Linked DNA regions of Tribolium castaneum. The protein of the gene in region 1 purifies or fractionates together with the protein of each later gene. This does not show direct contact. Links are inferred from orthologs where the notes say so. Each region holds a gene or a part of one and is shown in the gene's direction. Other genes may lie near its edges.

Region 1 (3,318 bases):
GATGTAAATTGTCGTACTTTATTTTAACAATTTATTTACCTAAAATTTATATTTTAAGTGTCGTGTAAAATGAGTAGCTACAAACTTATCTGATATAATGCTGAAATTACCAAAAATTGACAGTTTTTCTGTAAAAGAAAGTGAAAAAAGTTTAATCTGTAAATTTGCCAACCAATTCAACTAAACTGGAGCTTAGAGCACAGGACAGACATAGCTACAAGAAGTAAAGATTATTGTATTTTTTAAAATGTTTTTTTTTAATTCATTAATTTTATTTCAAATTTAAAACTTTAGTTTTTTACAAAAAAGGCTAATAAGTTAATAATACTCTTAAAATAGAATTTTTGTAGAATATAAATAAGATGGGTGAATATTAAGGTAAATTATGAATGGGGGCTGTAATGGGGGCCCGCGAATGAGTTTGGATCCCACGCCCCAACTGGTATCCTTACGCCACTGGTTGACATACTAAGTTTTTTTTCGAAAAACTTCACTAAAATGGACTGAAAAATTACAAATTGATCTTATTTTGTCAATTTAATTCGTTTTTGAACCTGAAACTCATTTATTGATTTAAAAAACTCAAAATAAAAATGATGGATGATGTTGTGTCTGTTTCACTCGATTTTGTTGGTTCTTGAGCGAAATTTTTTGTAAAATTATCTCAAAAATGTTATAATTTTCTCAAAAACGGAGTCATTGCCATTTTTTTTGATTTTTTAAACAGGGTTTTGAGTTTCTTACATAAATATATTGAGCAGAAAAATGACCTAATTGGGCAAAAAAAGAATTTTTTTTTAATTTCTGGGTTTTATTGGCACGTTTTTAATGCAGAAGCGTTGTTATTAATTATTATTTCACAAAATTGTCAACAAAAAGCCAAAAAATCAAGGAAAAATTTCGCGCTTATTCTGCAGCAACCGTTGCATTAAGCATCTGTTGCTTTAATTTTTTTTGCTGTTGATAAGTAAGTAATTGCTGGACGCTGTTTTCAAAACTGCAGACAGATTTTTTCTTTCAGTTCTAGTTTTGAGGTAAAAGGACACAACTTTAATTAGACATTAACTTTTCTGTTGCGTCAGATTTTTTTCGCTGTTCTTGGACGCTGATTTCAAAACTGCCTACAGTTTTAAATGTATCTTTAATAAAAAAGATGATTTTCCTCCGATTAATGCTAGTTTTCGAGAAAATAATCGATTCCCTAGATCATTTTACATTTGTTTACAGTAAAACAATACCACTTTTTTTAGTTTTGCCGTAATTGCTGTTTGAAACTTGAGTGTGAATATTTATACGAGTTTTTGATATTCATCGGGCAATAACTCCGGAATTAATACACGTAACTCTATTAAATTTATTAGTAAATTATTAAGAACATTTCCATTTTCTCGACGCTAATCGATTCCCAGATTATTTTACATAGTAAGTCTACGTTAAAATAGCAAAAAAATAATATAATTAAAAAGTGGCGAGATATTTTTTTCTACGACCTTTAGTTTTTGTGATATAAGTAGCTCCTATTAGCACTTTCTACACTCTTCATAAGCCCTAAAATAAAAACTCGAGCTGATGGACAATCAACTGTTAAATTTACGGCAACAGACAAAAGTGAAATTTTGTAACCAGTGAATTAATAATTGAATCATCTTCACTTTTGTTCCGTGTTTTGTTACCTTATACGTAAAATTGTAATCATTTCAAAACCACAACCAGTTTATTATCTCTGATAATTTGTATTCTTTGATTTGCCATGAGCGAATTTTTAATATACCAAAAAAAAATGCATTGAAATATGTGCTGTAATTTCGGTTATTTTTTCCTGTAGTCTATGATGGAGTTGCAAAAGCGCCGAAAAATGCTCACCGAGCCCGAAACTCGCTTCTACATGCGTCAAATCCTGAACGGAGTAAGTTACCTCCACCAGAGGCGCATCATCCACCGCGATCTCAAACTCGGCAATCTCTTCCTCAACGATGAACTGACGGTGAAAATCGGCGATTTTGGTTTAGCCGCAACGATAGAATACGAAGGCGAACGCAAAAAAACCCTTTGTGGTACTCCGAACTATATCGCACCGGAAATCCTCCAAAAGAAGGGCCACTCATTCGAAGTGGACATCTGGTCCATCGGGTGCATCATGTACACACTCCTGGTGGGCAAACCACCGTTTGAGACACGTTCGCTTAAAGAAACGTACTCAAGGATTAAGAAATGCGAATATCAGTGCGTTGAAGGGATTTATCGATTTTTTATTGTTTTAAAAATTGAATTTTAGTTTCACGACGACTATTTCTCCAGCGGCGAAGAGCATGATTATGCTCATGTTGCAGTCAGATCCGAAATCGCGTCCAAAAGTAACCGAATTGCTACAACACCCGTTTATTACCGATGGGTATTGTCCGTCTTCGTTGCCGGTCAGTAGTCTGACGATGGCACCCAGGTTCCAGAAATATGACGTGTCGATGAGGAAACCGCTTAGTGGAATCAACAACGGTAAGGGACAAATTCTCATATTCGTCAAAATCACACAATTTCTCAAGCTTTCTGGGCAAAGTTTAACCCATCTTTATAAGTAAACCGTTCATTAGAATTTTTTTTTGAAAGTTACATTACATTTTTGCTAGAAATTGGCGAAATTCAACTGTTTCTAAACGTAGTACCTTTTATAAATAAAATTGAGAGAATTTTAGAACTATATCATTGATATTTTCGAAAATCTGTTCAAAATCTGTACGAATTATTATGTAGTTTTATTGGTTAATTTATTGTTATAAGTTGTACACTGATGAAGAAATGATAAACAATAATACAATTAAATAAACTGATGACAGAAAAATAAAAAAAGATTAAAAACACATCAAAGACTTTACTTAATCTGCTATTGTTTTTAACCGAAATTTCGCCAAGAATAACCTGAAATAAGTGAAATATGTTATAATTTCCTAAAGAAGTAGTCAATTCTATATTTTTTTAAATTTCTGAGTTTCTTTCCTAAATATACCGAGCTGAAAAATTAATCTAATTGGGTCAAAATATTTGTTAATTTATTCTAATAAGTTGTACACTGACGCCGAACTAAAAACTTAAGAAAATGATAAACAATAACACAATAAATTGAACAGATGACAGAAAAAAAAACAAAAAGATTAAGAATGCATCAGAGACTTGACTTAATAGTTGGCTTGATAATTGTATGTTGTTAATTTAAAATTGAGAATTAGAATGAAATGCAGCTTAGTATTTAATAAAACTAAAAAGTAATGGGTTGTACACAGAGTTATCAGGTCAGGTCAGGTCAAGTTTTGAAACCAATTTAAT
Region 2 (3,765 bases), on another chromosome or scaffold:
TAGTAGCATTTGCACAAGTCAATAAACTCGTCTTGCTCGGGAAAGGGACTTTCACTTTGGACGTAAAGACAGGGAATTGGTTGTGAATGTTGAGGAAATTTTTTCTTGACGACTGTTAAAACCAAATGGAGCAAAACGGTGCAGTCTTTTCCGCCGTTGAAACTCACGAAGATATTCTCTAAACCGTACTGTTGCAAACACTCTTCAATGTTCTGGAAAAAACAAAATTATTTGACGAGTCGCACATGGCTCCTCCAGTTGCCATAGAAACGTGCTGTAACTATGGTAATACAGCAGGACATGAATGGGGATTGTCATGGTGACAACTACGATGAGTCAAACCAGTGGCGGGTACACTGTCTTACCTCTTACTTACTTCAATTGCATGTTTGATGTGTGTTTCATTGCTGGAGTACACGTGTTCCCACACGTCTGAATTATCGATAAATTTTAAATTATAATTTTGAAACCTGTCACTGATTTTCCTCTCAAATTCCACCATTTCGCGCAATTCTGGACTCGACACTTTGAAAGTGTAACACTTATCAGTTTTGCTAAATTCCAGTTGGAGACCATTGGTTTTAAATTCATTTAAATCAATTGTCAAGTTTCCGTTTTTAACGATTTCGATTATTTTTTGCAAGTTTCTCTCTTTCCTATACTTCAATAAATGATTCTTTAAAACTTTGGTGAAACTCTGTTTCAGAAACTTCTCCTTCAATATAAAAATCCTCTGGAAGTAAACGACGGGATAACTGTGTCCCGAATGCAAAATTTTAGCTTGCCGCGGCAATAAGGTCTCAGTTTTGTTCGAATTCTCGCCAATCTCTGCGAGTATTCGAGTTAGGTCATCACTAGTTTCAAGTTCTTGTGAGGTCATTTTGCCAAGTGCTCTGTAAATAACCCCGCATCGCTCACCAACGGCTATTATCATGTCGAAAGACCTCATTAGTGCATGAAGTTCGTTAAAAATCACATCTTCTCTTTCACTGATTGTCGAGACTTTGCCCACACTATAGTCCAAACAGGCCAGTTCCTTGATCAGATATTTGCTAGTATTGTCGGTTTTTTCGCCGGAAAGAACCTCGTCACTAATTACGACGATACCGACGGTCTTCAACGACATTTTTCGCCTCATGACACACAACAGTTTCTCGCAAACGCAACACTTTCACATTACGGTTTTTCAACTTTGACACTGACTTTTTATAGGTTAGGTTGGAAATTTGGCCCCCACTTTGTACACATTAAGCGAATAACGGTAAATGAAAAAACAATTATTTTATTTAACAAGTTTTTTTTTATACATATTTAATCATTGAGATTACAACAGCGTATAATATGTATACTTTTGTTTGTGTGTTTAACGCACAATTAATTATTTTTGTTAGTGTTTTCTTATATCAGATTTCCCATCTGCCGACTTTCCCTCACCTTGGACTTGTCAAACATTTTTTTAACCAACAATTTTTTTTGAAAATTATTTTGAGATGAAAATTGCGGTCGAAGGTTGTGCCCACGGCGAATTGGAAATAATTTACGACACTCTGCAATATTTGGAAGAGAAGGAAGGCTTTAAAATCGATTTGCTCATTTGTTGTGGCGACTTTCAAGCTTCTCGCAATGAAGCGGACCTCCGGTGCATGGCGGTGCCCCCTAAATACTACAACATTTGTTCATTTTACAAGTAATCAAAGTTCGTCCATTTCGTTGCGTTAATAACCAAATTTCAGGTATTACACCGGGATTAAAACAGCCCCAATTCTCACGATTTTTATTGGGGGCAACCACGAAGCGTCCAATTATCTGCAAGAGTTGCCATATGGGGGCTGGGTGGCCCCGAACATCTACTACTTGGGTTATGCCGGAGTGGTCAATATTGCAGGTTAAAATCGCTACTTTGTCTTCTTTAATTAATATTTGTTCAGGTTTAAGAATTGGGGGCATTTCGGGGATTTACAAAGGACAGGATTACATGAAAGGTCACTTTGAGCATTCGCCTTACAGCGATAGTTCAAAACGCAGCGTTTATCACATCAGAAATTTGGAAGTTTTTCGGTTGAAACAACTGTCTCAACCTTTGGATATTTTTTTATCACATGATTGGCCCTCGGGGATCTGGCAATATGGAAATGCGGCGCAATTAATACGTTTTAAACCTTTTTTCGAGTAATTCACAGTAACGGAAGTTTCCCTGTGTTTCTGAAGACATGGCACCAGGGAAATTTTCTTTATTAATCAAGATTTCCCCGAATTTGTGATTATTATCAATTTTTTAGAGAAGATATCAGCAGAGGACAACTGGGTAGCAAACCAACCGAAGAATTGCTAAATCATTTGAAGCCAGATTATTGGTTTTCGGCTCATTTGCACTGTAAATTTGCCGCAGTGGTGCCACACGAGTGTGGCAAAATCACCAAATTTCTTGCACTAGATAAGTGCCTTCCTAAAAGAAGGTTTCTGCAAGTTGTTGATGTACCTCATGACACGAATTTGGAAAAAATTGAAATTAGTTACGATCTAGAATGGTTGACTATTTTAAGATTAACAAATCATCTGCTAAGTGTTAAAAATGTGACCAATTATTTACCAGGGCCTAGTGGCAATGAGAGGTAATTTTTAATCAAAATCACGGATTTTCGTTACTATGGTTACTTGTCTTTTGTTTTCGTAACTATGGTAACAGATGGCGGCACAATTCAAAATTAAAAAAAAAATTTTTAGGTGGTGCTTTACTCCAGACGAGGAGGAAAAATCGTTTACTTTGAACCTGTTTGGTGATCTGGTGGTTCCAAACAATTTCGAGAAAACAGCTGAAGGTTATTCCGGTCATAAGACTAAAAATTTAACGCAACCAGTGCCAGTTTGTAATTCACAGACCGTTTTGTTTTGTAAAAAATTGGGAATCGATGATCCGTTGAATTTAATTCTTAATTTAAGTACAAACTCTGCAATTGATCTTAGTGCAAATAGTTTAGGTGATGATAGTGCAAGTAAGACAACACCGAGAAAAATAGTCTTGGACTTGCCCCAACCAGTGAATGAAAGTGTTCCAACGTTTGTGGACGAAACAATTTCTCAACCGGAATTGAACGAAACTGTTGAAGAAATGGAAGTTCCGGTTGAGGAAAAATCAAATTGCGGTAAAGAAGTGGAAGTTCCGGTTGAGGAAAAACCAAACTGCGGTAAAGCGTTTAAGAGGAGGAATGCGTCAATGTATCAAAATGATGTAAATTGATTTTTGTAAATAAAGATTGAAAAAGCCCGCTCTGCGTTTGCCAACATGACACGCCAAAGTCACTAGATTTGTAATTCAGACAGTTGACAGAATGGAACGTGAAAACTTAACCCCGTGTGTTTAATACTTTTGTTATTGCTCCTAAAATGTTAACTTTCGAGTAGTTGCAGTGAAATGAATTTATCACAAATATGAAATAGCAGATACCGCAATCATGGATCCATTCGAGGCAGTAAGTAGCATCAAAATTCGGTCTTTTTACCTCTCCAGACTTACATAATTTTGGTGGTTTTTGGGCCGGAGTTTGGCCATAATTGAGTTATTTTCGTCGTTTTAGCACAACATTACATTTCTGGATCTCAGCGGGGTTGATGAGCAAGAACGACAGGAGGTTTTGGATTCTCTGTATGCAGAGAATGCCAATGTGCAGCTGCCTTGGAGGGTTTCGGAACATAAAGTCGTCCAAAAGACCGGTATGTGCTTTTTCAATCGATTAATATTCATAAAAAGTAATTCAAAGCAACATA
Region 3 (4,010 bases), on another chromosome or scaffold:
CGTACTTTACACCGTTTTTCTATCAATAAACTTTAATCATTTGAGAAAACCAAGTCATTTTCTTCGTTTGCAAATAACTCCATATTCATTAGGTGTCACTACTGCCAACTTACCCCAAATCATTAACATTTACTTAAGCACGGTGCAAGACACAACACGTACACAGTTTAAACGACGGTATAATAATGCATAAAAAGCCCCAATATGGGGGCACGTGTTGTATTGATTTCGGAGATAAATTAACAGCAAAATTGATTTTTACCAGCGCAAGGTTGGCAACTATTATGCGTCATGTCAGCTGTCAATTGATAAGGGAGCTCGTAAAACTGAAAAACAGATGCGTTCATTATCAGAACAGTACAACTGAACAACAAACCAAAATAAATCAATCATTCATTTTATTCGGTAATTTTTAGTCAATAAAAACTGAGAATTTAATTTAAACGGCACCATCTCTGACGAATTATTTTTAAAAATTTTGAACAAGTAAACCAAAAATAAATAAAATAGTCTTTTCTTCACAAAACGAATGAACCAGCTTGAAATTGTTTAGATCCAATTTTATAATCCTTTTGTGAATTCTAACAAATTCTGTCCAAAATAATGTATTATACGGACTGTATATAAAAGAGTGCAGGATCTCATGTGGTTTTGGAATTTAAATTTTCTGCATTTAATTATTTTATTTTTAAGAAATTTCTGAAAAGTACAAATTTTTATCTACTCAGGCAATCAGTAAAACCAATTTGACCAATGTTATCATATACGAGCATTGTTCGTTTTTTCTGGAAAGAAGCGGCAATCTTTTAATACCTACTACGATACCGCATTCATATAAAAACAGATGTAGCTATAACTTCAAAAACGTGCTTTAACATTAAAAAACACAATCTTTGCAAAACTAAAAGTAAAGTAATATTCAACTAATCTGAAATTTTTTTGAATGTCTGTCTATTCCAGCAGTGTCCTAAAAGAAACTTGAAATCCTAGTTCACAAACGGGCTTAAAAAGGTAACAGAGCATCATCTTAGCAAACATATAATTTTTGACTTATTTTTGACGGAATGTTTCTCAAATCGAGCGAAATCAACCAAAGCAGGCTGAACTGTTATTGATTTTTCTGACGATGACAGGCTTTAGACTTGAACGTTTTTAATTAAGTTAACCATAGGACGTGATCGTTATTGTTTATATGGAATATAATCCAACACATGCACTTACATTTTCTAACCAATAAGTTAAACTTCTATAAGTGAAAGGAACACAACGATTCCTGCTCACAATTTTAAAATGTGGAACAATTTAATAATCAGCTGATCATCGCCGTCCTTCTATTAGCGCCATCACCTACCTGTCAATAATATTTAGCAAATAAAAAAATGCGTATAAGTTAAATATAAATGGGTAAGTAAATGGATTTGTAGTGAATTTTCAATGTGATTTGCCGTTTCAGAGGAAATATCAGATTTGTCGAACAAGAAGCTCAAAAAACTCGCCAAATTCTCGCCTCAGGAATCGCAAGTGATAACAACATTGATACTCGACGATAACGAACTGCAACGTTTGGATAACATCGACTCGTTGTTTCGGCTACAGAAGGTAAAATTGTAGCTTTAAGTGCGCGACGTTTTAAGGGCCCCCTTGTAGCTGTCAGCAGTGCGCAATCAATTGTTGCGCATGTATGGCGTATGTCGCCTCCATTCTCTGCACACTTTGAATCTCGCTCATAACGGAATACTCACAATCGAGGGGCTCAAGGATCTGGTTAATTTAAAGTGGCTTTGCTTGGCTGGGAATAGTATAAAAACTATTGAACATCTCAATACTAACACGAATTTAGAGCATTTAGATTTGTCGGAGAATAACATTACGCACATCAATGATTTAGCATTCTTGAAAGATTTAAAGGTTAGTTCATAGCTTGCTTGATAATTGAGTTTCTCTTAAATGTGGCGCCATATTGTGTTGTTACCATGGTTACCGTATCGTAACCATGATAATTGTAGAACGTGGCACCCTCTTTCGGGAAATTTCGTGCGGTGCAGAGATAAGGTAAGATAGACTGGCAGCTTTCTCACTCTAGATAAGCAACAAGAGGTACATACTGCCCTTCTTATCAACTGGTGTGTACTTATTTTTCAGTGGCCTTATGTTCAAATTTAAAAAATACGAACAGTTAAAATTAACAGGAGGAAAGAAAGGTTAAAAAAAACATTCAGCGTTGAATGTTAAACTCATCGTACTTCTAAATCATCTAACTGAAGAATTTCATAAATGGGAAGACAATACAATAATGAAATTATTTTTGCTATACTTACAGCGTGATTCAAACGTATCCAACCAACTCTCGTATGGTGATATGCGTCGTTCAGTAAAGAAAGTCCATTTTTTCCAAGCAACTTGCCATTTAATTTTTAATATATTTTTGTATTTGTTTTCCTTAGCAGCTATTTTAATTGTTGTTCTTTTGTTTTTAGTCATGTCAGATTTAAATTATTATATAATTTGCCAAATTTACGTGTATTAAATGATTGGAATATCGCTGATTGGTGATTTTTTAACAGATGTCCGTTTAATGATTGCATGATTTGTCGTTTTCGCTAAATAAATTAAAAACAATTTGACCTGAAAACCTCAAATCTAAAAACCTAACTTTGGAAAGCTACGATATATAGCGTGAAAAAAGGTTCACACAATTTTTTGCCATAGGAACTTTGACTCTGATGTTTTTTATAGCTGCCCAAGAGACGATTCGAGACTTTTGAATCACCGTGTGTATTCCATTTCGGCTCATAGTAAAATTGCAACCGCGCATTTGTATTTTTTGGAGAGAAAAATGAAGTACAAATTGAAAGTTTCTGTATAAGAAAAAGAATTCTGTGTTAAACTAAATCCCAACGACACACTTTGAGAAACTCTCAATTTGTGCTCCATTTCATTCAAAAAATGCAAATGCGCTGTTGCAAAATTCTACTATAAATAATCTATAATAACTAATTTTGAGAGAAAATGCGACGTTGGCGTTTTTATAGTTTTGAGAAAGCGTATAAAATGTATTTAAAAAATCTATTCGATTTGCTGTTGTTTCAGAAAGTATTGTAAATTTATATTACCTTGTCTCTGTGTGAAATTTTCTTTTGGCGCCATCTTCTCTCGTTAGCATGGTGATCAGATACATGTAACCATGCTAATTGTTGAACCTAGCGCCCTCTTTCGGGAAATTTTGTTGTGATTGTTTGATTTTAGGAGCTTTTTCTACACAATAACAAAATTAATCATCTTAGACAGAGTGATCGTTTCCTGCCTACTAGTTTAATAACCCTGACTTTGGCTAATAATAACATTGAGGATTTGAATGAAATTTCTCAGCTTGTTCATCTTGTTAATCTACAAAATATTTCCATCGCTAATAACCCTTGTGTTAACTTTGGCAACACTAACATGTATCCTTTGTGACATTGCTTATATTTTGTTTGCTCATTTTTATTGTTTATTCAATTTCTTAACTTAATCCAGTGGATTTGATTACCGTCCGTTTGTGATCAACTGGTGTTTGAACATTAAAACAATTGATGGTTATGTAGTGGATGCTATTGAAAGGTAAAAACTTGCAGCAAGCCACTTTTTGACATATGATGGTCTATTATGTTTGCAACCTTTAATTATTTACAAATAATCACAGTTTTAATAAAAAAAAGTAAAAAAAAACATTAAAAATCGAAAGAGGTTTTATTGACTTCTAAATCTCTTTAAAATTTCGAGATTCTGATTGAAACAATTTTATTCTTAGTTGTTTATCTTACGCTGATGCATCTAAAAATTACACTTGCCATCTAAAAAAAGCACCAAATTGTTAGACTTGATTTAAATATTTTCAGTAGTATAAGTTAAAGATATTTTTTGTTTAAAGTGTTCATCACATTTTTCGCTGAAAAAACGCTCAAAAAAAAGTCAAAAAGATTGTAATTTTAGACTTTATTTGGTAATGTTCTGGTTTGTTAGTGCATGAA
Region 4 (3,157 bases), on another chromosome or scaffold:
ATATTAGTAATTAATTATTTTAAGCCCAGCAAAATGCTCTGTAATTTGAAACTTTCTAACATAGTATTTGCGTTTTATTAAAAAAAAATCTTTTTCCTAAATCAGCCTCTTCATTAATTTAACCTTCTAATCATTGTATTGTTTACAATCTTTCAAAAAAGTCGTAAATTTTGAAGTAATTTTTTCTCAAATTGTATCATCTTCAGTCTCAGACGACGTACTGCTGCTTTTTATTTGTTACATAATTTATGTAGGGAATTAAATAAATTAAATGGGCGAAAATTGTGGCTTTAAACTTGAAGGGGAATTAGGTTTTAAATATTTATGAAACAGAGTTTTGAGTTAAATTCGACATGGATTTTAAATGAAGAATTAAATTTAAATAAATAAGTAGAATAAAATTTCACTTTATTCATGATAAAAACTACATATGGTCAAAAATTTAATAACGTAAAACATAATTACAGTTATAATCCTAACTAAAATAAATTTAAACAGTTAGCATTAATAAATTTTTTATAATTATTGTCAATCACTTGGAAAAAAGCTCTTTCAATGAAACGACCGTTCAGGAAACTATTTTGGTTGTTTGAAAAAATATTGTACTTCTAAAGAATTGGGTCAGTCATAAAATAATTGAAACTGGTTTATAATTATTTAAAATACTTTTGTGTTTTTATAGTTATGTTTACACGTAAAAAACTTGGAAAGGGCTAAAAAATACTTTGAAACAGTGCCATCTTACAGAAAAAATACGGGATATTCCGAACACAAAATTATACTTTAGAATTGGGAACAAATGTAAAAGAATATTAGTAATTAATTATTTTAAACCCAGCAAAATGCTCTGTAATTTGAATCTATTATTAAAAAAAAAATCTTCGTTCTCTAAATCAGCCTTTTCATTAACACCTTCGAACCATTGTATTATTTACAATCTTTGAAAAAAGTCGTAAATTTGGAAGTAATTTTTTCTCAAATTATATCATCTTCAGTCTCAGACGAAGTACTGCTGCTTTTTATTTGTTATATAATTTAAGTGGAAAATTAAATATGTTAATGGGCGAAAATTGTGGCTTTAAACTTAAAGGGGAATTAATTTTTAAATATTTATGAAATAGAGTTTTGAGTTAAAGTTGACATGAATTTTAAATGAAGAATAAAATTTAAATACATAACATAAAAATATAATAACGTAAAACATAATTACAGTTATAATCCTAACAAAAATAAATTTTAACAATTAGAATTAATTTTTTTTTATAATTATTGTCAATCGCTTGGAAAAAAGCTCTTTCAATGAAACGACCGTTCGGAAAACCATTTTGGTTGTTTGAAAAAATATTGTACTTCTGAAGAATTAAGTTAGTCATAAAATAATTGAAACTGGTTTATAATTATTATTTGTAAATGTAAATAATGGTAAACATTTCAGATAATGTAAGCCGTTGGGAGCGCACCGTAAACGACGAGGAAGAACGTTTGGAAACGTGCAAGAAACAGGAGCAGAAGCAACGCGAAGAAATCGACAAAGACTTGCAACAAGTCGAGCAGTTGAAAGCACAGCGACTCCACAAGAAGCAGGAAGTCGATGGTATGGAAGAAGAGCTGGGAAAAGCACGCAGAGAAGTGGGAAGCATTGCGAAAGACGTGCAAGCCGCCCAGAAGTCCGTAGTCTCTCTCGAAACAAAAATCGAAGGCAAAAAAAGCGAACGCCACGCAATTTTAATGCAGTGCAAAATGGACGATGTGGCTATTCCTATGATTGTGGGCAACATGGAAGATATAGTGGCCTCAGACCCGTCCCAAAGCTCGTCAGGGGACACAAGTAGCACAGTTCAACAATACGAGAAAGAAGCGAGGATTAAAATCGACTACAACATGTTGTCAGACAGTCTCAAAGACCTGGAGGAAAAAGACGAGATTAAGAAAATGGCAGATAAACTCCTCAGCTCGATTAAGAGTCTCCAAGACACTTTGACCAAAATTCAAGCGCCTAACATGCGAGCGATTCAGAAGCTCGAGCTCGCGCAAGGGAAACTCCAATCGACGAACGAGGAGTTTGAGAACTTGCGTAAGCAGAATAAGAAAGCGAAAGCAGCGTTTGAGAAAATGAAACAGCAACGGTATGAACGTTTCACGCGGTGTTTTGATCACGTGTCGAACGAAATCGATAACATTTACAAAGCTTTGGCACAGAATCAGTCAGCTCAGGCGTTTCTGGGCGCTGAAAACCCAGAAGAGCCCTATTTGGATGGGATTAATTACAATTGTGTGGCTCCAGGGAAGAGGTTTCAGCCAATGTCGAACCTGTCAGGTGGTGAGAAAACAGTGGCAGCTTTGGCGTTGCTTTTTGCGATACATAGTTATCAACCGGCACCGTTTTTTGTGCTTGATGAGGTCGATGCTGCCTTGGATAATACCAATATAGGAAAAGTGGCCAAGTATATAAGGGGCAAGACTGAGTCTTTGCAGACTATAGTTATTTCGTTGAAGGAGGAATTTTATTCGCATGCTGATTCTTTGATTGGGATTTGTCCTCAGCCGGCTGAATGTTTAGTCAGTCAGGTTCTAACAGTTGATTTAACGAAATATCCATAAGTATTGTTTAATTTATGTTTTTACGTTTCGAGCTTTCAATAAAACTTTGTGTACTATTTTGGGGAGCTTATCAAGTCTAGGAAATGTTTGCTTCTACATTTCTAGTATTAGCACTGAAGTCTTGAACCGATAAAATAGCAGAAAAGTACATAAAGTTTTGACAATCAAAATTTTTCGGATTTTTCGAATTTTTCGGAGCTAAAACAAATACAATTCGTGGCAATAAAGATCGCTACATTTTAATCTTGTTTGTTTAAATAAAAAACATACTTTTCAAGTTTCCATTAACTGCGAAAGCTTGATAACGTAGACCACGGCCACCTAAATTCCAATTCGAACAAATGAGACTTGGCAGCAAATCCAATTCGAGCGAATTGTGAATTTGTAATTATTGATAATAGCGCAAAATTGTGTTATTTTTCATTGTTTTTAGCCTATAAGTATGATAAATAAAGCCCTAAGAACATACCCTACAACTTTTGAGGAAAACTATTGCAAAAAATGTTGAGGTTAGAAAAGCTCGAAGCTGAACCTGTGCCCCACTTTTCATATGGAA
Region 5 (3,500 bases), on another chromosome or scaffold:
TTATTTTTTTATGTTCATGGTTTGCATATAGCTGTTCTCTACCTTCCTTTCTTCCTCTTCCTTCTCTCTTCTTTCTTAAATCCCAGTTGTTATTTCTTCGGTTTTTCATTCATTATTTTTTTTTCTTTACTGTCTTCCTTTCTCTGTTCTCAGTTAGAGAAAGTCAAGAATCATTCTTGATCATAGGTCTATAGAAGATTTTTTCTTATATCTTATGTCCTTGGTTTGCGTATCGCTGTTCTCTACTCTTCCTTTCTTCCTATTCCTTCTTTCTTCTTTCTTAAATCACTTCTGTTATAATTCCTGTCTTTTTCACTACTTATTTTTTTCTGTTTACTGTCTTCCTTTCTCTGTTTTCTCAGTCAAAGACAATCAGAAATCATTTCCGGACATAGATCTATAGACCCATATCCAGATTTTTCTGGTTTCTGGTTTCTGATTTTCTTTGACTTTTTTACTTATTTTTTTATGTTCTTGGTTTGCGTTCCACTTTCTCTCTCTTTCTTCCCCTTCCTTCTTTCTTTGTTCAATCTTATCTTCAATTCTCTCTTCTTTTTTAACTTGCACTTCTGTTATCTCTCCTGTTTTATTTACTTACTTCTTTCTATTCACTGCCTTCCTTTCTCGGTTTTCAAAGAAAATCAGGAAGCAATAATTGTGGACGTAGATCTAGAGGAACTTTTTTTCTTATTGATTGTGTTCTTGATTTGCATGCCACTGTTCTCTACACTTTTTTCTTCTTTTTCAATTTTTTTATCTTCCATTGTCTCGTTTCTTAAACTCCAGTTGTGTTATCTTTCACGGCTTCTTTACTTACTGTCTTTTTTCTGTTTACTGTTTTCCTTTCTCTGTTTTCTCAGTCACAGAAAATCACGAAGTTTTTATGGACATTCGTCTGTAGAAATTTTTTTCTTATTTCTAATGTTCTTGATTTGTGCATCGCTGTTTTCTACTCTTCTTCTTCCGTTTTCTTTTCTTCCTTAAATCCCACTTCTGCTATCTTTCATGTCTCCTTTCTTTCTTTGTTCTCTCAGTCAAAGAAAATCAGAAAACATTTCCGACCATAGGTCTATAGAAACTTTTTTTTCTTATTTTAACCTAAGACTCTGTAAAGACAAAATCACTCCTCAAAATTTTTAACTTTTTTTACAGATCTCCTGTATTTGTTCATTCTTCAAAATGTATTTCTTTGAAAATTATTTGTTTTTAAAAAGGAACAGTTATTATGATTATAACAATCGTTTCTGTGGAAATAAATTCAACTTTCATTGAAGAAACCGGAGCTTCAGTATATTTATTACTTGATTTTTTTTTTAAGATTCCTTTCGATTATTTTTTTAACATTCCCAGAAAACACTATTTGTTTCAATACAGAATTAGTTATTAACTTTAGTCCTTCCAAAAATGTGTATTCAAATTCCAGTTCGGTGGAATGTTTGGATTTGCTTGTGAGCAACGGTGCCAAGTTTCAACTAAAAGACAACATCGGCCGTCTTCCCTTGCACTATGCCGCTTCCCAAGGCCACTACCAGTGTGTTTTCACACTTGTTGGTATCGGAAGTTCGACAAATGCTGTTGACATGGAGGGCTGTACTCCCCTACACTTAGCCTGTGGTTACGACACCGAAGGCAAATGCATTGAATACCTCCTAGAACACAAATCCGATCCTTTCGTCAAGGATCGGCGTGGTTTCACCCCAATTCATTATGCCTTGGCTGGAGGCAACATAGCTGGAGTTAGCCGCCTGTTGGGAGTGATTAACAATTCGATGATTTTCCAAGAGCCAGACATGCCCGATGTGACTCCACTCCATCTAGCGGTGGGTTTATGAACCATATGAACCCTTCCAGTATTCGGAAGTAAAATTACCGTTGGGGGCGCCACTGAGCTAGGTCGAAAACAGTAACCATAGATGGCGGGAAAATGTTTATTCGGATATTTTGAGCGTTGTACGAATTTTGGGGCTTCACAATTATTACATTGCCTATGCGGAATGATTGCATCTTTGATGCAAGAAACTTATGTTGACAAATGAGAGATGACGAGGAAAACACGAATAACGAATGACTGTTTGGTTCACTTTCTTTATTGGAAAATTATTACAAAGACATTGAAAAGCCACCTTTTGGCATAATTTACGTTTAAATGTATCAGCAGTTGTTAATCTTTATTGTAGTTTTGTAGATTTACCGCAGCATTTCATGATTTATTCAGTGGAAAATTCTAACCTAAAATTCACACACTTCACTAATTTATTGGTTTCTTGAGCCAAACTTTATGTTCGCTGTGATCCATTACTTATAATCTTTAATTAGACAACTGTTTGATAACAATTCGTAATAAAAATTTAAATATTTTTCACTTTTTATCCACTTTCAAGTTCCAACAATAAACACTTTATACCACGAAAAACTACAGAACCAAAGTCAACGCTAGTATTTACCACCACGTACTTTTAAAGTAATTCTTTCTATTGTAAGTAATTAACACTATACACGCAAAATTGTTGAACAATTCATTAAATGTCAGTTAAATGTGGCATTACAAAAATTTCTTTACTGTTTTCGACATAGTTCAAAAGTCATCACCAGAGGGCGTCTAGTTAATTTTATTTCCGAATTCGGAAGTAAAATTACCGTTGGGGGTGCCACTGAGCTAGGTCGAAAACAGTAACCATAGATGGCGGGAAAATGTTTATTCGGATATTTTGAGCGTTGTACGATTTTTGGGGCTTCACAATTATTGCATTGCCTATGCGGAATGATTATCGTATCTTTGATGCAAGAAACTTATGTTGACAAATGAGAGATGACGAGGAAAACACGAATAACGAATGACTGTTTTGTTCACTTTCTTTATTGGAAAATTATTACAAAGACATTGAAAAGCCTACCTTTTGGCATAATTTACGTTTAAATGTATCAGCAGTTGTTAATCTTTATTGTAGTTTTGTAGATTTACCGCAGCATTTCATGATTTATTCAGTGGAAAATTCTAACCTAAAATTCACACACTTCACTAATTTATTGGTTTCTTGAGCCAAACTTTATGTTCGCTGTGATCCATTACTTATAATCTTTAATTAGACAATTGTTTAATAACACTTTGTAATCAAAATTTAAATATTTTTCACTTTTTATCCACTTTCAAGTTCCAACAATAAACACTTTATACTTCGAAAAACTACAGAACCAAAGTCAACGCTAGTATTTACCACCACGTACTTTTAAAGTGATTCTTTCTATTGTAAGTAATTAACACTATACACGCAAAATTGTTGAACAATTCATTAAATGTCAGTTAAATGTGGCATTACGTAAATTTCGTTACTGTTTTCGGCATAGTTCAAATGTCATCACCAGAGGGCGTCTAGTTAATTTTATTTCTGAATTGTGTTATTTTTAGGCAAAACTGGGCAATATTAACGTAATGCGTGCAATTTTGAGTTACTACCACGACGTGAATTTGCAAACTGAGCAGGGCTTGACGCCTTTGATCC
Region 6 (4,042 bases), on another chromosome or scaffold:
TACCTTCCCCAGTTATCTACTGCAAAAAGCAAGGTACAGTTGAGAATTTTTTTACAATCCTCGATTTCAATGCGACCTGAAGGAACAGCCAGGAGAGAACCATCAGGTGAAAAATCTAAGCGTCTGAAAAATGACTTGAACGTGTCATCATGAAAATATTTCACTTCTTTGTTGTGAAGATAATGATCTTCCGGCACCGGTAATAGACCCTTGTGCATTCTAGCCTTCACCTGTTTACCGGTATTTTCAAAAATGCGGCAGATGCGGTCGGTACTGATTGTGGCCAAAAACTGACCTCTGGGATCCCACGACACGCCCTTCAAATTTCGAAAAATTACAAACACTATATTTTTATTTAGCAATAATTTACTTGGACAAATCCCTTGTGGTCGGTTAAAATCTGTTCATTTTTGCCTTTCTGAAAATCCCACAAAATGGCAGTGTTGTCTATAGACCCCGATAGAAGTTTTGAGCCATCGGGTGACCAACACAAGTCGTAAATGTCTTCCTTGTGCCCCCGCATTACTTTATGCACTATCCATGTCTCTTTATCGTTCGTTTCTCCTTCCAGTAGAGGGATATTATCGGTTTTAAGTTGCCAAATAATGATATTTGCGTCGTCATCAGCTGTCGCGAGCTGCTGCCCCCCTGGTGACCACCGAACTGAATTCACAGCTCTTTGGTGTCGTGTTAGATCAGACAAAGCCTCGATTTTAACACTACCGTTTTCGTTTATTGTTAATTGCCAAATCTGAAGCACAGCGTCACAAGACTTAATTTTTTTAAACCGAAGCTTACCAAAACATGACAATCGGCACCACCAGTTGCTAACCTATAAAATTTCTCCAAAACGGGTTGAATATGAACACTCAAGACGGGCTCCCGGTTGTGCCATGATATTTCTGGTATCGAACACTTCATTCTACGTTTAGCGGCTTAAATTGTGAAATACGAATAGTAGCAGACACAAACAAGGCGTTTTTTACACAAAACAACAACCCAATAAAAATATTACGACCATTTGGCGCCAATTTACTAGTCTCCTCGTTGGGGATTTTGTTTTTACAAATGTAATTTTTTTGTATAAAAATGAGCAATTCTATTGAATGAATTGAATTAAATTACAAACCTTTTCGTGAACGAATATAAATTAACACAAATTAATAAAAAATTAAGCAAATACTCTATTTAACAATTAAATACTCAAGTAAAGTCTGTAAATTCTAGTAAATTTAGGTTTCTTTCATTTAGATTGCCAGCGCTGTCTGTTAAGTTTGTGAAGGTTAGAGGAGCCGATTCGGTTTAAAAAAAGCGTTTTTTAATGAAAAATAGTCGTGATTTATGTTGGTTACCATTCTGATTCATTATTGAAATTTAGCAAATCTGGATGAGAAAGTAGAAACAATGATTGCTGCCTCAGATCCACAGGTTCGTGGGTGCTCTCACTCAGTCAATATTTTGCGTAAACTTTTCAGGAGTTTGTTCCAAGTGGACGGCAGCAAACATTGAAACACCCAGGCCCCAATGGGGTGCCCCCGCAAAAAAATTTAGGCCAAACTGAGGACCTACTCCTTGATAAATTTGAAAAGGTTTCAATAAAAGAGAAAAAAGACAGTGAATGGTGGATTTTGCGGAAAACCCCCTTGTTTGAGTCTGCGGCAAGTTGGTGCTACGGGACAAAAGACAGTTCTTGTACTAAAGTTAGTGTGAATCAGGACTGTAAAAATGACAAGTCTTACAGCTATCAAAGCTGCGATCATTCACAAAAGACTAGCAAGAGAATATCTGAGAGTTTTTCGAAATTTTCACTCAAGCATGAAAGCTTGGCTCATGGGGGTACGTGGGACCAATTTTTTGCATTTTTATTTTTTTTTTGATTCCCAAGGGCCAAGCTATGAGGGTTCTTTTGCCAAAAGTCACGTCAGTTTTATGGAGGATGAACTCTATGTCAAGGGACACACGGCAGTGTGGTCCCGAGGGCTAAACAATTGTGACAATTTAGACAACGGTAGAAAAACAATTTGTGCTTACACTTCCCTTCTCCCTATAAAACACGCCGCTTGGTGCACTTTCCACTGCGAGCACCCCAGATATGAAACCGACGCTTTTCCTTTTTCTAACAAAGAAGAGGAAACTAAAGGCGTGCCGGTTCCTGCAATTTGCATCATAAATGCCCATAATATTCACGTTTTCACCCAAAAAGGTGAAGATTTCGTCACTGCTATCCCGTTCCAAATTAGCAAAATGTGGAATACGAAGTACGGAATTTTTCTCGAACGGGAAAACGAAGGTTTGCATTTTGCATTTTTTTTCATTTATTAACGCAATCTTTAAAGGCCACAATTCTACAACGTATTTTGAAAACAGAGCTTCGCTCTATTCCTTAGCTTTTCCCTTTGATGAGGTCTGTCCTGTTGCAATAAATGTTGGCACACATATCCAAGTCCTGAATAATAATAGTTTTAAATTGGTTTACACCAGCGAAAATCCAAGCATTTGTATGATTTACGATACTCAAACCAGGCAACACAGTGTTTACGTTATTAGAAAAGTAACAATCAACGAAAAGGTAGAGTTTGCAAACAGGATGAACAGCACTTTCCCTTCAGCCACCAGTTTATCTAACAGGGTAAAAGAGATTAAAAGTCGCACACTTGCGATAATTAATAATTACAGTTGAAAAGTCGTCTTTCAATGTGGGATTGCGGAAAAAACTCGAATTATTTAAGCGTCCCCAGCCCTATCAATAGCCGGCCAGGAAGCGTAGCAAGTTTTTATAACCAAATGCACCACTCGAAATCGCACAGCTCAATGGCCACAATCAGGTTGACCCATTTTTCCAAATTTTATAATACGAACTAATTATAGCAAGTTAATCGGTTTTGTTACTGAATTATACTAAAAGTGTAATTTGGGTCTTTATAGTCGATGCCAGTCACCTGCCACTTCCTCTATCGGAAGTCCGTGGTTGCAGAGAGCTTCGCGTTTGAACACTTCTATTCCAAGTGGGCCCAGTTATTGTGCACCAAACAACTGTTCGTTTTTCGACTGTTCTAAACTGATGTCTTACCTGCACACAAACCCTCTTATTTGTTTGGACCACCTATGGACTGATCCGAATTTGACTCAGTAAAGTTTTTTTTATTTAAAAAATATTCAATGATCAAGTGATTATTGTAGAGATGATAACATGTCGAGTGCCACATCTAAAGTATTTTTGTGCGACGACTTGACACACCAGTGGTACCTTTGCTACATTTTACCAGTGAAGTGCCAGTTGTGTTTAGTCCAAATCGACTTTACAGACCCGAGTAACATTCGCTTTGGAATGGTTAACAGTTTGAGTGTCAAAGACGCAGTGCCTATTCCTGTGAGTATCACACATTGAATTTTTTCCTAATTGTAATTAAGATGTGCCACATGTTGGCCGTCCTGGAACACAACGGCAACGTCAGCCTCTACTCTGGCCTTACCCTAGTGGGGAAGCTGCACATAGGGGGCACCCTCGTCCAGCACACCCCCTCGCCCTACGTCCGTCGCAACCTGGCTCAGTTTAACTCACCTTTCCCGAGGTATTTCCCAATTAAAACCTCCAAACCGCTCAACTTTGCCATTCCAGACGGAGCAGTCTTTTGCCCCATTGCAAACAACTAGACCCCAAGTTTGACGACCATTTGCTATCACCGGTGTTACCCGAGACAACAAACGTGTCTAACATCCTCCAGCTGAACTTCCAGCACGAAAGCAATTTGCCCAAAGCTGTCCTGAACGGTTTACGTGACCCGATCGAAAACCGCATCACTTTACGATACTCTGATGGCACTTACTACAGAATCACTCTGCCCCCCTTGACTGCACACCCACTAATTGAAAATTGTGTAATGGCGTTAAAGCAGTGTCTAAACCGTGACACCATTTCGGTGGTTTTGACCAGATGGTACGCCACTCGGAACGCACCAGGGGCCCAAGACATGAATCTCGAGCAAGAATGGAATGCGTTTGAAACGCTGCTTTTAGGTAATTTGGTTTCGTTCTAAATCGT
Region 7 (2,552 bases), on another chromosome or scaffold:
GGTTTTAGGATCAAGTTATTATTCCCTTGACGAGGACGGGGCTTGGGAGGGATCAGCAGGAGGAGGAGGATGCCATGTTGGTGGTTCATCCCAATTATATTATCGATTGAGTGTACCTATTTTTTTTAATAAAAGTTAAGTACTAATAAGTTTTTTAATAATTTGCCCCTTTTTAAGTTTTACTCCATAATTTTGGAAAAAAACAAACGAGAATAACTTACCAAGTGTTATCATTGGTAGACTATTTTTTTCTAGTATTTTATTTTAATTGGAAAACAGTTGATAATAAAGGGCTTTTTGATTTTACTTAAGCACCCAAACAGTAGTAACAGTTATTGTTAAATAATATTGCTTTTTTAATGGAGAGTACAAGAAGTTTTTTGAAACAAATGACAAATGACTAATTTTTAAAAACATCAATTGAATCAACATTGGTTTTTTATCTTCAGAACAATGTAATTGGGGATAAATTTTGAAATTTTTAAATGAGTACCGATCTGGTCAGCTGGAATCAGTATTATTGGTTGCATATTAACAAAAATTCAGAAATAACTCATTATTGACTCACCCTGTATAAACCCCTAAGATAATAAATTGTTCTCAATTTTTTTCGGGATACTTTTAGCGCACCCTTAGATGTTATTGTATTTATTTTGAAGGTTACTTATTTAATTTTTTTTAAGGCACTTTATTGCAGCAATTTTTTTGTATAAAAGATTATGCTCTAAAAATGACTTCTAATTTAATAATATTATTTTTCAATCAGTGTTTTTTTTAATAATTGATTTACATTGTGTTCCGAGCTTACTACGACGATTTTCCGAATTTGGCCGAAGAGATTTTTGAAAAACCTTGAGCTCGGAACACAACTTTAGTAATTCATTAAAATTACACAATTTTAAAAACAAAATTATTGATTTAGAGGTGATTTTTAGAGCATAATCTTTTACCAAAAAAAATCGCCGTAGTAGGGTGCCATTTGAAAAAAATATATTTTTTTGGATAACTCAAAAACTAAACGGAATTTCGAAAAAAAATTTTCTTGAAAAGTAATCACATTTTAAAAGTAGTTGATGATGTACTAATTATTTTTTTCGTAAGGTACATAGTTTAGGCAAAAAACGCTTGGTTCCATACTTTTGCCCAACCCTGTATAATAATAATTGACAGCATAAATAAAACTTAATAATAAAACGAGCTTAATAAAATTGATATTACAGGAAGCGCTGTTTTGTCATTTAATAATAATTAAATATTTTCAACAGTTTTACCCAAGGATGGAGGATGAATTTAAAAAAAAAACGCACAAAAAAATAAAATAAAGATAATTATATCTATTCATTGATATGAAATCTGTACGTTCACGGACTGAGTGTGCCGAAGGTCAAAAAGATGTTTTTTAGCCGAAACCAAAGTTTTATATTCTTTAAAAACAGGAAAAAAAGAAATTTTGAATAAAAAACCTTAAAAACCGTATAGAATCTTTCAAAAAATGTTTTGTGTGTAAGCAAAGATGTTTTTTTGTCCTAAAAAACATGGAAAACATTCTTTTTTTTTACTTTTAAACATTTCCTGCATAAAAGCCTTTTTTAATTTTATCTTTGTCAATTATAATAGTTGACACAGATAGATCAGCTTTGATCTCATTTATACATAACCATATATTACTTAATAGCTTTTTTATCAAAAGATAAGGCCTGAAGTGTTAAAAATTGGAAGCTTTGGACATAAAGTCACGCATTATCAGATTTTTTGGTAGAATTTATTGATGTTTTTTTTTCACAAAATTATGGAAAGTTTTCGAAAAACTGTTTATATTAATACATTTTTGCGCTAGTTTTTGTTCAAAATGCTCATGAAACAACATTTGGAAGACTGCCCATCACTTTGTCGCGTTTAGCCTTAGCGCAGATCAATAAACCCGCCATGCGAGCAAACCTTCCAGTATTGTACAAATTACCTGTTGGTACACTATTTTTTACCTATTACAACAAATCAGTTGATCTAGATTAAGCTTTATACTTGAATAATTTATCCCAAATTAAAATCTAGGTGCGTATCAATAACCCGTCCAAAAATTTTCCCTTCACAATCATTTCTAGAAAAATGGCAAAATTAGACGGAGTTGGTCTCGGATATTCCTACCACTTGCCTTCCGGCGGCTGGCTTTTAAAAATCCGAAACGTCCTGTCACAATTCAGTGACTTGTTTAGCGAATTTGATAAATACATAGCCCCGGCATATCACCACGATCGATGTGAAAGGTTAGTCTAAATTTACCAAAAAAAAAAAATTCAAGGAGCGAAATTCCAGATCGGTTTATATGCGCTTATATTCGATGCATAAGAGGGAGTTTGTTATGGTGTTTATAGCATTTTTTGCCTGTTTTGGCCTTGCACTGTTCATAGGGATCGCTGGGCCTCCTATAACAAGTACAACTGAACTCGACGCTAAAACATTGTTAAGTAAAGATAATCACAGTAATTCGATAGCGACTGGCCCTTTTATAATGAAGACTCCGTCACTAGTCACCTATTCGCAGCAATTGTGGG

The links.
Region 2: the proteins of polo (region 1) and ldbr purify together in Homo sapiens (affinity purification with mass spectrometry; 3 studies listed by BioGRID and IntAct, with this or other methods). This does not show direct contact. The link is inferred for Tribolium castaneum from reciprocal best matches to the Homo sapiens genes PLK1 and DBR1.
Region 3: the proteins of polo (region 1) and Cep97 purify together in Homo sapiens (affinity purification with mass spectrometry; 4 studies listed by BioGRID and IntAct, with this or other methods). This does not show direct contact. The link is inferred for Tribolium castaneum from reciprocal best matches to the Homo sapiens genes PLK1 and CEP97.
Region 4: the proteins of polo (region 1) and SMC1 purify together in Homo sapiens (affinity purification with mass spectrometry; 3 studies listed by BioGRID and IntAct, with this or other methods). This does not show direct contact. The link is inferred for Tribolium castaneum from reciprocal best matches to the Homo sapiens genes PLK1 and SMC1A.
Region 5: the proteins of polo (region 1) and serine/threonine-protein phosphatase 6 regulatory ankyrin repeat subunit A purify together in Homo sapiens (affinity purification with mass spectrometry; 6 studies listed by BioGRID and IntAct, with this or other methods). This does not show direct contact. The link is inferred for Tribolium castaneum from reciprocal best matches to the Homo sapiens genes PLK1 and ANKRD28.
Region 6: the proteins of polo (region 1) and shtd purify together in Homo sapiens (affinity purification with mass spectrometry; 3 studies listed by BioGRID and IntAct, with this or other methods). This does not show direct contact. The link is inferred for Tribolium castaneum from reciprocal best matches to the Homo sapiens genes PLK1 and ANAPC1.
Region 7: the proteins of polo (region 1) and Mcm6 purify together in Homo sapiens (affinity purification with mass spectrometry; 3 studies listed by BioGRID and IntAct, with this or other methods). This does not show direct contact. The link is inferred for Tribolium castaneum from reciprocal best matches to the Homo sapiens genes PLK1 and MCM6.

The regions. Positions count from the first base shown.
Region 1 is NC_087398.1:11,004,490-11,007,807, reverse strand, and holds part of polo (serine/threonine-protein kinase polo), read left to right. Parts: intron 1-1,825; coding exon 1,826-2,223; intron 2,224-2,275; coding exon 2,276-2,493; intron 2,494-3,318. UniProt on the Homo sapiens protein: Serine/threonine-protein kinase that performs several important functions throughout M phase of the cell cycle, including the regulation of centrosome maturation and spindle assembly, the removal of cohesins from chromosome arms, the inactivation of anaphase-promoting complex/cyclosome (APC/C) inhibitors, and the regulation of mitotic exit and cytokinesis.
Region 2 is NC_087394.1:25,730,405-25,734,169, reverse strand, and holds ldbr (lariat debranching enzyme), read left to right. Parts: upstream 1-1,418; 5' UTR 1,419-1,490; coding exon 1,491-1,687; intron 1,688-1,733; coding exon 1,734-1,885; intron 1,886-1,928; coding exon 1,929-2,169; intron 2,170-2,279; coding exon 2,280-2,612; intron 2,613-2,724; coding exon 2,725-3,238; 3' UTR 3,239-3,265; downstream 3,266-3,765. Other genes in the region: FAD synthase, read right to left, coding at 1-212, 377-1,138; ubiquitin carboxyl-terminal hydrolase 10-A, read left to right, coding at 3,453-3,470, 3,576-3,711. UniProt on the Homo sapiens protein: Cleaves the 2'-5' phosphodiester linkage at the branch point of excised lariat intron RNA and converts them into linear molecules that can be subsequently degraded, thereby facilitating ribonucleotide turnover.
Region 3 is NC_087402.1:12,399,459-12,403,468, reverse strand, and holds the start of Cep97 (centrosomal protein of 97 kDa), read left to right. Parts: upstream 1-1,210; 5' UTR 1,211-1,309; exon of another isoform or gene 1,310-1,375; 5' UTR 1,376-1,400; coding exon 1,401-1,404; intron 1,405-1,453; coding exon 1,454-1,599; intron 1,600-1,647; coding exon 1,648-1,908; intron 1,909-3,246; coding exon 3,247-3,443; intron 3,444-3,516; coding exon 3,517-3,600; intron 3,601-4,010. UniProt on the Homo sapiens protein: Acts as a key negative regulator of ciliogenesis in collaboration with CCP110 by capping the mother centriole thereby preventing cilia formation. Required for recruitment of CCP110 to the centrosome.
Region 4 is NC_087394.1:36,167,408-36,170,564, forward strand, and holds the end of SMC1 (structural maintenance of chromosomes protein 1A), read left to right. Parts: intron 1-1,435; coding exon 1,436-2,601; 3' UTR 2,602-2,657; downstream 2,658-3,157. UniProt on the Homo sapiens protein: Involved in chromosome cohesion during cell cycle and in DNA repair. Central component of cohesin complex. The cohesin complex is required for the cohesion of sister chromatids after DNA replication.
Region 5 is NC_087401.1:12,711,891-12,715,390, reverse strand, and holds part of serine/threonine-protein phosphatase 6 regulatory ankyrin repeat subunit A, read left to right. Parts: intron 1-1,423; coding exon 1,424-1,820; intron 1,821-3,406; coding exon 3,407-3,500. UniProt on the Homo sapiens protein: Regulatory subunit of protein phosphatase 6 (PP6) that may be involved in the recognition of phosphoprotein substrates. Involved in the PP6-mediated dephosphorylation of NFKBIE opposing its degradation in response to TNF-alpha.
Region 6 is NC_087397.1:4,714,695-4,718,736, reverse strand, and holds the start of shtd (anaphase-promoting complex subunit 1), read left to right. Parts: upstream 1-1,242; 5' UTR 1,243-1,404; coding exon 1,405-1,428; intron 1,429-1,475; coding exon 1,476-1,836; intron 1,837-1,885; coding exon 1,886-2,290; intron 2,291-2,336; coding exon 2,337-2,629; intron 2,630-2,676; coding exon 2,677-2,825; intron 2,826-2,925; coding exon 2,926-3,129; intron 3,130-3,180; coding exon 3,181-3,370; intron 3,371-3,411; coding exon 3,412-3,572; intron 3,573-3,619; coding exon 3,620-4,017; intron 4,018-4,042. Other genes in the region: Caf1-105 (chromatin assembly factor 1 subunit B), read right to left, coding at 4-317, 371-751, 799-921. UniProt on the Homo sapiens protein: Component of the anaphase promoting complex/cyclosome (APC/C), a cell cycle-regulated E3 ubiquitin ligase that controls progression through mitosis and the G1 phase of the cell cycle.
Region 7 is NC_087400.1:6,009,953-6,012,504, reverse strand, and holds the end of Mcm6 (DNA replication licensing factor Mcm6), read left to right. Parts: intron 1-8; coding exon 9-110; 3' UTR 111-2,052; downstream 2,053-2,552. Other genes in the region: transmembrane protein 181, read left to right, coding at 2,107-2,264, 2,314-2,552. UniProt on the Homo sapiens protein: Acts as a component of the MCM2-7 complex (MCM complex) which is the replicative helicase essential for 'once per cell cycle' DNA replication initiation and elongation in eukaryotic cells.